Macaca fascicularis: one gene and its partner. The protein of the gene in region 1 binds, or shares a complex with, the protein of each later gene. Links are inferred from orthologs where the notes say so. Each region holds a gene or a part of one and is shown in the gene's direction. Other genes may lie near its edges.

Region 1 (4,246 bases):
AGTTCGAGACCAGCCTGGCCAATATGGTGAAACCCCGTCTCTACCAAAACAAACAAACCAACAAAACAACAACAACAACAACAACAACAACAAAAATAGTCGGGCGTGGTGGCGGGCGCCTGTAGTCCCAGCTACTCGGGAGGCTGAGGCAGGAGAGTCGCCTGAACCCGGGAGGCGAAGGTAGCAGTGACCCGAGATCGAGCCACTGGACTCCAACCTGGGCGACGGAGCGAGACTCCGTCAGAAAACAAAACAATCCCACGTCAAGATCGCTTTGAAACACGGGCAGAAAAACTAGGCAAAAATTTTCCATCGGCTAATTACCTTGGCTCAGTTACACATTTAATCAAAAGCCCGCCTCCCCCACTTTTAGCCCCAGCGTAAGAATGTAAAATAGGGCGCTTAGAAGTCTAAGCGATAAAGATCTTCTGACCGAGAGCTAAGGGACAAAACTCATTACAGATAAGCCTAGTCCTCCCATTTCCCCCGGACGCCTCTCCCAGATTGCTAAAGAAGCAGCAGCTCCCCGGGTGGCTGCCAGGAAATCAGTACAGCCCCGCGGCAATGCTTTCACCCTGCAGGGGGTAAGAGGCGCACTTCCTGCGCTCTCCCCGCGGCTAAGCCGGGGTGCGGGAACCTTCTCCAGAGAAGCTGTGAGTTGGGGAAACTCCGCCACCGATCCATCGTGGCGCGGAGAAAGGAGATGTGGGGCTCGGAAGGGCTAGATTTCGCAATCCTGGGTTCGATATTCCTCCCCTCCCCCACTTTCCCCAGCCTTGGACTGGGCCAATGAAAGCCTGAAAAGGAAAAAAAAAAAAAAAAATTAAATCTCAACGTAGTAGGAGTGCAAAGGCCGCTCGGCTTTGTTTCCCGGCGGGGGAATGCGCTGTGTTGGAGGCGCGAACAGGGGCCGCGGACGGGTGAGCCCCACCGCGGCAACTGCCAGGAGGTGAAGCCGAACAGGAAACCCCATCGCTTTAAAAAGGCAGCTGTCCGCCCTCCGCCTTTCCCCGCGCCCGGGCCAGGGGCCCGGGATCCGCGAGCTACGCGGACGGGGGATCTCGCCAAACCCGAGCAACGTGCGGCGTCTTTTAAGAGCTCAAACAACGGGAATCCTGCAAAAGACACGCCGGCTCCAGAAGGCAGCCTCCCTTCTCTCTCCGAGCACGGGCTACAATCGCCCCCAGTCCTCAAACTGTCCCAGTAGAGGCCGCAGCCACCGGTGCCGCGCGGAGAGAGCGGAGCCGAGGGACCCCGTGCTAGGCGGGAGCCGAGCGCGGCTGCTTTAAGAGCGCGGAGAGCGCGCGCCCGCCAGCTGGCCCGGGCTGCGCGCCCCCGCCACCACCGCGCGCCCCCTGCTCGCTCGCTCGTTCGCTCGCCGGCTTTAAAGTCTCTGCCAGGATCCATGCTCACATGTTACTTCCTGTATGGAGGCATGGCCAGTTTCCAGCCCCGCGCTCTTCGTTCCTCCCCAGCCTGCGCCGGAGCCACAACTTTCAGGAGCATGGACTGAAGGCGCCCTCGCCCCAGCGCCCCTCTGAGATCCTTTGTGTTTTCCTCCGTTTCCTCCGGCCGTTTCTATTTTGGGGGGCTCTCCGCTCCCCCCGCCTCTCCCCTCCCCTCCCCTCTCGCAAACATGCCTCCTTCCTTCCCGGGGCCCTGGAAGGAGCTGCCTGCCTGAAGCCCGGAGACGCCGCGCCGCGCTCAGCCCTGCCGCCGCCCGCCGGCTCTCGGGCTGTGCTGCGCTGCCGACTCAAGTTGGGGATCCTCGGCTGCTCGCCGCCGCCGCCGCCGCCTGCGGTCCCTGCCTGCCCCGGGCCCGGGGCATCGCCGCCGGCCGCCGACTCCGCGCCCTGTCCGCTCGGCTCTCTCCTTTTTGAACGGAAAGCAGCCCTTCTCCGCCGAGAGGATCGTCCCCAGCGTGGCTCTGCGTTCCCGGTCACTTTTTGAGATTTTCCGGGGGGCGCTCGGCGGCTTCCCGGATTCCAAGGGGACTCGGGCCGCCGAGCGCGGGGGGCCCGTGGAGCGGGCGAGCCGGGGAAGCGCCCCGGCTTAGCGGAGGCTCGCACGGAGGCAAGAACTTATTCAACAAGTTTATCCCCCTGCTTTCCTCTTTTCGATGTGCGTTTTCGGACATGCGGAGGTTACTGGAACCGTGTTGGTGGATTTTGTTCCTGAAAATCACCAGTTCCGTGCTCCATTATGTCGTGTGCTTCCCCGGTGAGTGCCGGCCGCCGAGGGGACGCGGCCCCGGCCGGCGCGCGTTGGGGATGCAGAGTTGTCGCCTGGGCGCGGACCTCCGGCGCCCGTCCGGGAGACCCTGGAGAGGGTGGAGGGTGGCCCGGCGCCCGGGGAGTAGAGAAGGATCTGCTCCGCTGGCTTGGGCGCTGTTTAGGGAGGCTGGCTGGTGGTCGAGGAAGGTGGAGGCAGGGGCCGGCCGGGGAGGGGCTGGGGGACGCGGGGATCTGCTCCCGTTCCGTTTTGGGGGGCCTGGGGAGCTGGAATCGGGAGGAAGGGGTATTTCCTTTGCTGACTCGTCGCCGATCGGGAGAATTCGAGTTGTAGGGCGGTTGGGGAGACTGAGGCCATGGAAAGGATGCTTCTGTGGGTTTTGGGGGACCCGGGATGAGCCCCCTCGCTCTGGCGGGTATTGAAGGAGCTCAGAAGGTGGGGGTTTGCTTTGCTGTTCTCCACCCCTTTGGGAAGGCTAGGTTTCGGGGAATGGAAGTCGGAGGCTGGCCGCGGAGGACTGAAGATGTGGGGAGCAGCCTGCGTTCTGGGGTCGGGGGCGCCCTCCCCCGTTCTCGGGGCTGGGGCGCGGGCAGCCCTTCGGTGCCGGCGTGAGGCAGCCTCCTTGGGTGCAGTGAGAGGGCAGGGCGCAGGCGACTAGGGGAGATCCGTGTCTCCCCTAGCCCCGACCGTGGCCCCTTCCCTCCGCTGCTCTGCTCGATTGGATTGCCGGGGTCTGGACGCGGGGAGGGGGCGGGGGCGGGTCGGCGGCCGGGTTGCAGTTCGCGCTTGGGCGGATTTTTTCCTGTCTCGCGCGCCTTGCCTACCTTCATCTTTGCCCTTTTGCAGGCTGTTCGCGGCTGGCAGCCCCAGAGCCGCCCCTTTCTGGCCAGGTTAAGACAGGAACAATATTGGCCATTGATAACGAGAATAAATCACCGCACGTAACGGTGTGAGGCTCGGCGACCCTCCACTTCCAGCCCTCAGCTGGCAAGCCCCCTCTTCTCTCCTCTGGGGAGGGCAGAGGCCAGCTGCCTCCCTCTCCTCTCTTGCAGCTCCCCTGGGCAGCAGCCCCGAACTCCCTCGTAGCTGTCCTGCTCCCTCCCTGGGGGTGGAGGCCAAGTCCTGCCCTAGCCCGGGGAAGGTCTGGAAGAAAGGGGGCGATTGGCTTTTCATCCCTCGCTCCCCTAAGGACAGAGAATTCCCCGTTTTTCTGTCCTCTCATTCGTCAGCTCCTGGATACCCGGAGGTGGAGGTTATCTGAATCAAGAAAAAGAGGAACGTGCCTCGAGGTCTCCGCTCTGCTTGGTTACAGCCGCCTGTCCCCGGGCGGCTGGAGCGCCCGTTTTTGGTGCAGCGGGTCCCTTAGTCCCGTCGTGCGCCGTGGAGCAGGGCGCGGGAGCCCTCGTCGCTCTCGGGGATCCCTCTCGGGGGACTGGCAGCGAATGCCCCCTTTGCAGAGTCGGGGATGGCCTCGAGGGGCAGAAAGGCAAAGCACCGTCTTGTCTTCTGCACCCTCTTTTCTCTCTGCGCATCCTCCTGCCTGCGGAGCGGCACGGAGCTCCAGCCCAGAAACGCAGTCCACACTCACCTTGGGGCCTGGGGGTTTGCCCACTGGAGTCCTCCCTCTACGGTAGTGTAGGCCTTGGGGACACCTCCCGTTAGAAACAGCTGCCTTCATTCACTTAAAGACTACTGCTCACTATTTGGGTTAATCATCTCCCCCTGCTAGTCTCCCCTGGTTTACCACGGACTTGCCGGTTGAGCGGGCTCAGGTGCACACGGGTTGAGCTTTGTGAGGGCCACTCTTTAATGGATGCAATGGGAGGCCGTGGAGGACAGACTTGCAAATTAGAGGAATTTCCAATTCCACTTCTGTCCTTGCGCTCGGGGATGCAGTCAGTGGGCTGACTGTGGTTTTCTTTTCACTGGTGTTTGAGGAAGCTTGAGATCCAAAATGGGACTGCCAGGGAGCGTGCTTTCGTGGGGCTTGGACCATTTTCGTCTTCTCATTTTC
Region 2 (3,563 bases), about 17 Mb from region 1:
GAGCATTGAAGGCTGGAGATATAAATTTTCAAGACATCGGTAAAGAGATGATATTTTAAATTATGGACAAAATCCTCACCACCATCCTGACTTTTAGTCATGTAACATCCCTCTGCTAAGGGGTGATAGGCCAGTGTTTCTGGATGGAGTTTATATTTACTGCATTTTTTTTTTTTCATACAAACACAAAAGGCATTTTTGTCTTAAAAGCAGGGACAAATGGATTCTACACTTCATCAAACAAAGCCTCTAACTTCTGTTGAAAGGGAGCCAGATTTTTGGTGAGATGTGGAAGTAATCTCCAGGCCATGAAAATACAAGACTGGGATTTATTTATCTCACTTCATTAAAAATCTGACTTTGTACTTCATGCTTTCTTATCATTGCAGGGATTGGTATTTTTAGGTAGACTGATGATTCCTGGTTTTATTCATTACAAAAACATATATTAAGCAATTATATTGGTGTAATTATTAGGTAACAAGGAAGTGACTGTGAGCCAAACATGATCTGTTTCAAGGAATTTTTCATTAGGTTGGTCAAAGAGATCTTACAAGATTGAAGAGCCCCCGAATGACAGTTGATAGCTTCTTACTATGAAAAATGTAAGACCCATAAGAAAATGTAAAAAGGATTGAGGCTATTTTGTTTGGAGAAAAAGGGTAGATTTAAACAGACATGGGTTTGAACCCCAGTTCAGCCATTTACTAGCTGGGTGATCTGGGCACAAATTACCACATCTGTTAAGTGAGGTAATAATACCTAGCCTTCATCCAGTTTTTGCAAGATTTAAGTGTCATATTCATCTGTGCCCAGCACAAAGAGTTCAAAAGGGAGTAGCAATTTTCGCAGAGTTCAAAAGGGAGTAGCAATTTTCATAGAGTTCAAAAGGGAGTAGCAATTTTCATAGAGTTCAAAAGGGAGTAGCAATTTTCATTTTGTTGCATCATTGACGTGGCATGGTATCTATCAGTACTGTTACTAGTAATATTGAAGTTTCTTCTCACATTAGATGGGAACATCCTTATTTTACAAATGCTTTGACAGAGGTACAGGGCTGTCCTCTACCCTACTCGCAGGTTCGTAGCTAGATAGTCATAGAACTGATATTTAAAAGCCATTAAGATCTTAATCATCATTTCTAGTAGAATCCACGCAGTTCTGCTGTTTCAGAAAGCCCCGTGGCCGCTCTTCCCTTTGAAGCCAGGATGGGGCTGTTTTGAGTGAATTTGTTCTCTCTTTTCAGATGCCTACGCAAGAGGATCCGGGGCTTCCACTTCGAATGCATGTACGCTGTCAGCCATCAGTACAATAATGATTTCCCTCACAGCTAGGTCCAGTTTATGACAAAAGTTATCTCAAGGACTTGCTGTTTATAATATAAGCAACATTTAGCTAGTTGTTTTGAAGACACCCAGTACTAAGTAATATTGTTGTTCAAGTACATCTTATTACTGGAATAAAAATGTTTTTTGCTTCTTTAGGAATGGCATTATACAGTACTTCCTCAAAGCAAATCTAGCTTTGTCTGAAGTTTCTTTGGAAACTCTGCAATGCACTGAAGACATCTGTAATATGATGTTACCAAAGCAGTTTACATATGTCCTTATATGCATATTTTTTATTACATATTTAGTGTTTTATAGAATTTTTTAAAGTTAACACATAATGTAGATATTACTGTTTTTCCTCAGCTGTAAAATGCTATGGACAACACAATCATGCAATTATAATTTGAAAATATTTCCTTTAAAGACAGAGTTTGAAACTCATCTTGGCAAATAAATTGCAAATTACTTGTACAGTTTTACAAGGATCTCGTGGCAGAACAGCTGAAGACTTGGTCTATAACTCAAGGCTGCTGTATGCAAATTACTCTTCTAGTGGTTAATGCATTGAATCAAGTCCTTTTGACATGTACAATATGTTCCCCATGCCGTTGTGAATTTTGTTGTTCAATACAACTTGAGATGGTTTCAGGAATGGCTGCAATCTCAAAAGCTAAATTTACTGCCCAAGAGGCACCTTGTGCAATATTCCCATCCCTGAATTTAGCATTGTACAGTAAGATTTTCTTTTCACTCAACTAAGTTAGCATTGTCTTTGTAGTAGCACTATCTTAGACATTAAATTTGAAGTAACATATATCCTGTAGTAACATAGACCAAAAGTTACTATAGTCAACCAAGTCTTTCAAAGGATAAAAGATAATTTTATTATCTTTAACTGTATCTATTTTGAATGTAAATTTTAAAAAAAAGTAATTCTCTGTCAATGGATTCGTAATTTCTTTACAAAATTTCTTATATATAATATGTGTATCTCTGTAATAATAGAGCCCTTCTTTTGAATCAAAATTACATATGGAGTTTGGAAGATTTCTCCTATTTCAACAAATAGTTGCTGCAAGAATTTTTTTTTTTTTTTTTTTTTTTTTTTTTTTGAGACGGAGTCTGGCTCTGTCGCCCGGGCTGGAGTGCAGTGGCCGGATCTCAGCTCACTGCAAGCTCCGCCCCCCGGGTTTACGCCATTCTCCTGCCTCAGCCTCCCGAGTAGCTGGGACTACAGGCGCCCGCCGCCTCGCCCGGCTAGTTTTTTTTTTTTTTTGTATTTTTTAGTAGAGACGGGGTTTCACCGTGTTCGCCAGGATGGTCTCGATCTCCCGACCTAGTGATCCGCCCGTCTCGGCCTCCCAAAGTGCTGGGATTACAGGCTTGAGCCACCGCGCCCGGCCAAGAATTTTTAATATGACTCTATAAAAGATCTTTAGTACAATGGTATGGTTTCTTGATGATTCTGTTTTGCAATAGGTAGCCTAGTTGCTTTATATACTTTACCTTCTAACTCTTAAAATCACACATTGGAAAATGACAATATCAACAAAACTGTATTCTTATGAAAAGAACTATTTGTTACAATGGGAAAGGTTTTGTAAGCAAACGCTAGTGGAACAGTGACATAAAAGGCAATGAAATTTTCTATAAACATTTTCTCATGTAAACATGCTGCCACCTTTTCTTCTTTCTCAGAGAACTCAAATCTGCTGTAATTTGTCATTTTTGCTTACAAATAATATAACTTTTCAACCTTCTACTTATATTTATCCAATAAAGTCATAATCAGGATTCCATTTGTGTAAAAACTAGGGTGGTAACCGGAAAAAAAATATATTGTCAGTATTTCAAGCTGTGTTCCTTTCTTAGTTTGATATGGTTACTTCTATGTTAAAATAAAATAAAATTTAAAATCACATGCAAAAAAATCAACAAAATAATAAAATGAATGAAAAAAAAATGACACCCAGGGAGTTCCCAACCCCAGTGTAAATGATATTTACCAGTGATCTAGCATATGTAATCTTTTTTAAAGGTATTGTTAATAAATATTCTGTCATTTGTAAAGATACTTGTCTTTTGGGAGCATTTTTCCTGCCTGCCTGTCAGGGAATTTGTTAGCTTACCTTTGTGCTAATTATAATTTGGGATCATAGAGGGACTCAAAAGTCTCTACCCAAATCTAAATGACCCAGAGCTATTCCTTTGGAATTGACAACCCTGAAGACA

Evidence for each region. The genes of interacting proteins can lie anywhere in the genome.
Region 2: the proteins of PTPRG (region 1) and CNTN4 are in contact, whole or in part, in a crystal structure (PDB 3KLD), measured with the Mus musculus proteins. The link is inferred for Macaca fascicularis from reciprocal best matches to the Homo sapiens genes PTPRG and CNTN4. Residues at the interface, in NP_033007.2 of Mus musculus: Lys222, Val225, His226, His227, Lys229, Phe288, Thr290, Gln293, Asp294, His295, Val296, Lys297, Ser298, Val299, Glu300, Tyr301; in NP_001103219.1 of Mus musculus: Thr128, Arg129, Ser130, Val132, Ser133, Arg135, Gln138, Gly139, Met140, Val141, Leu142, Leu143, Cys144, Gly145, Val219, Met220, Gly221, Glu222, Tyr223, Glu224, Pro225, Lys226, Glu228, Leu250, Asn304.

What each region holds. Positions count from the first base shown.
Region 1 is NC_088376.1:124,649,009-124,653,254, forward strand, and holds the start of PTPRG (receptor-type tyrosine-protein phosphatase gamma), read left to right. Parts: upstream 1-1,413; 5' UTR 1,414-2,135; coding exon 2,136-2,220; intron 2,221-4,246.
Region 2 is NC_088376.1:141,285,953-141,289,515, forward strand, and holds the end of CNTN4 (contactin-4), read left to right. Parts: intron 1-1,246; coding exon 1,247-1,347; 3' UTR 1,348-3,403; downstream 3,404-3,563. UniProt on the Homo sapiens protein: Contactins mediate cell surface interactions during nervous system development. Has some neurite outgrowth-promoting activity. May be involved in synaptogenesis.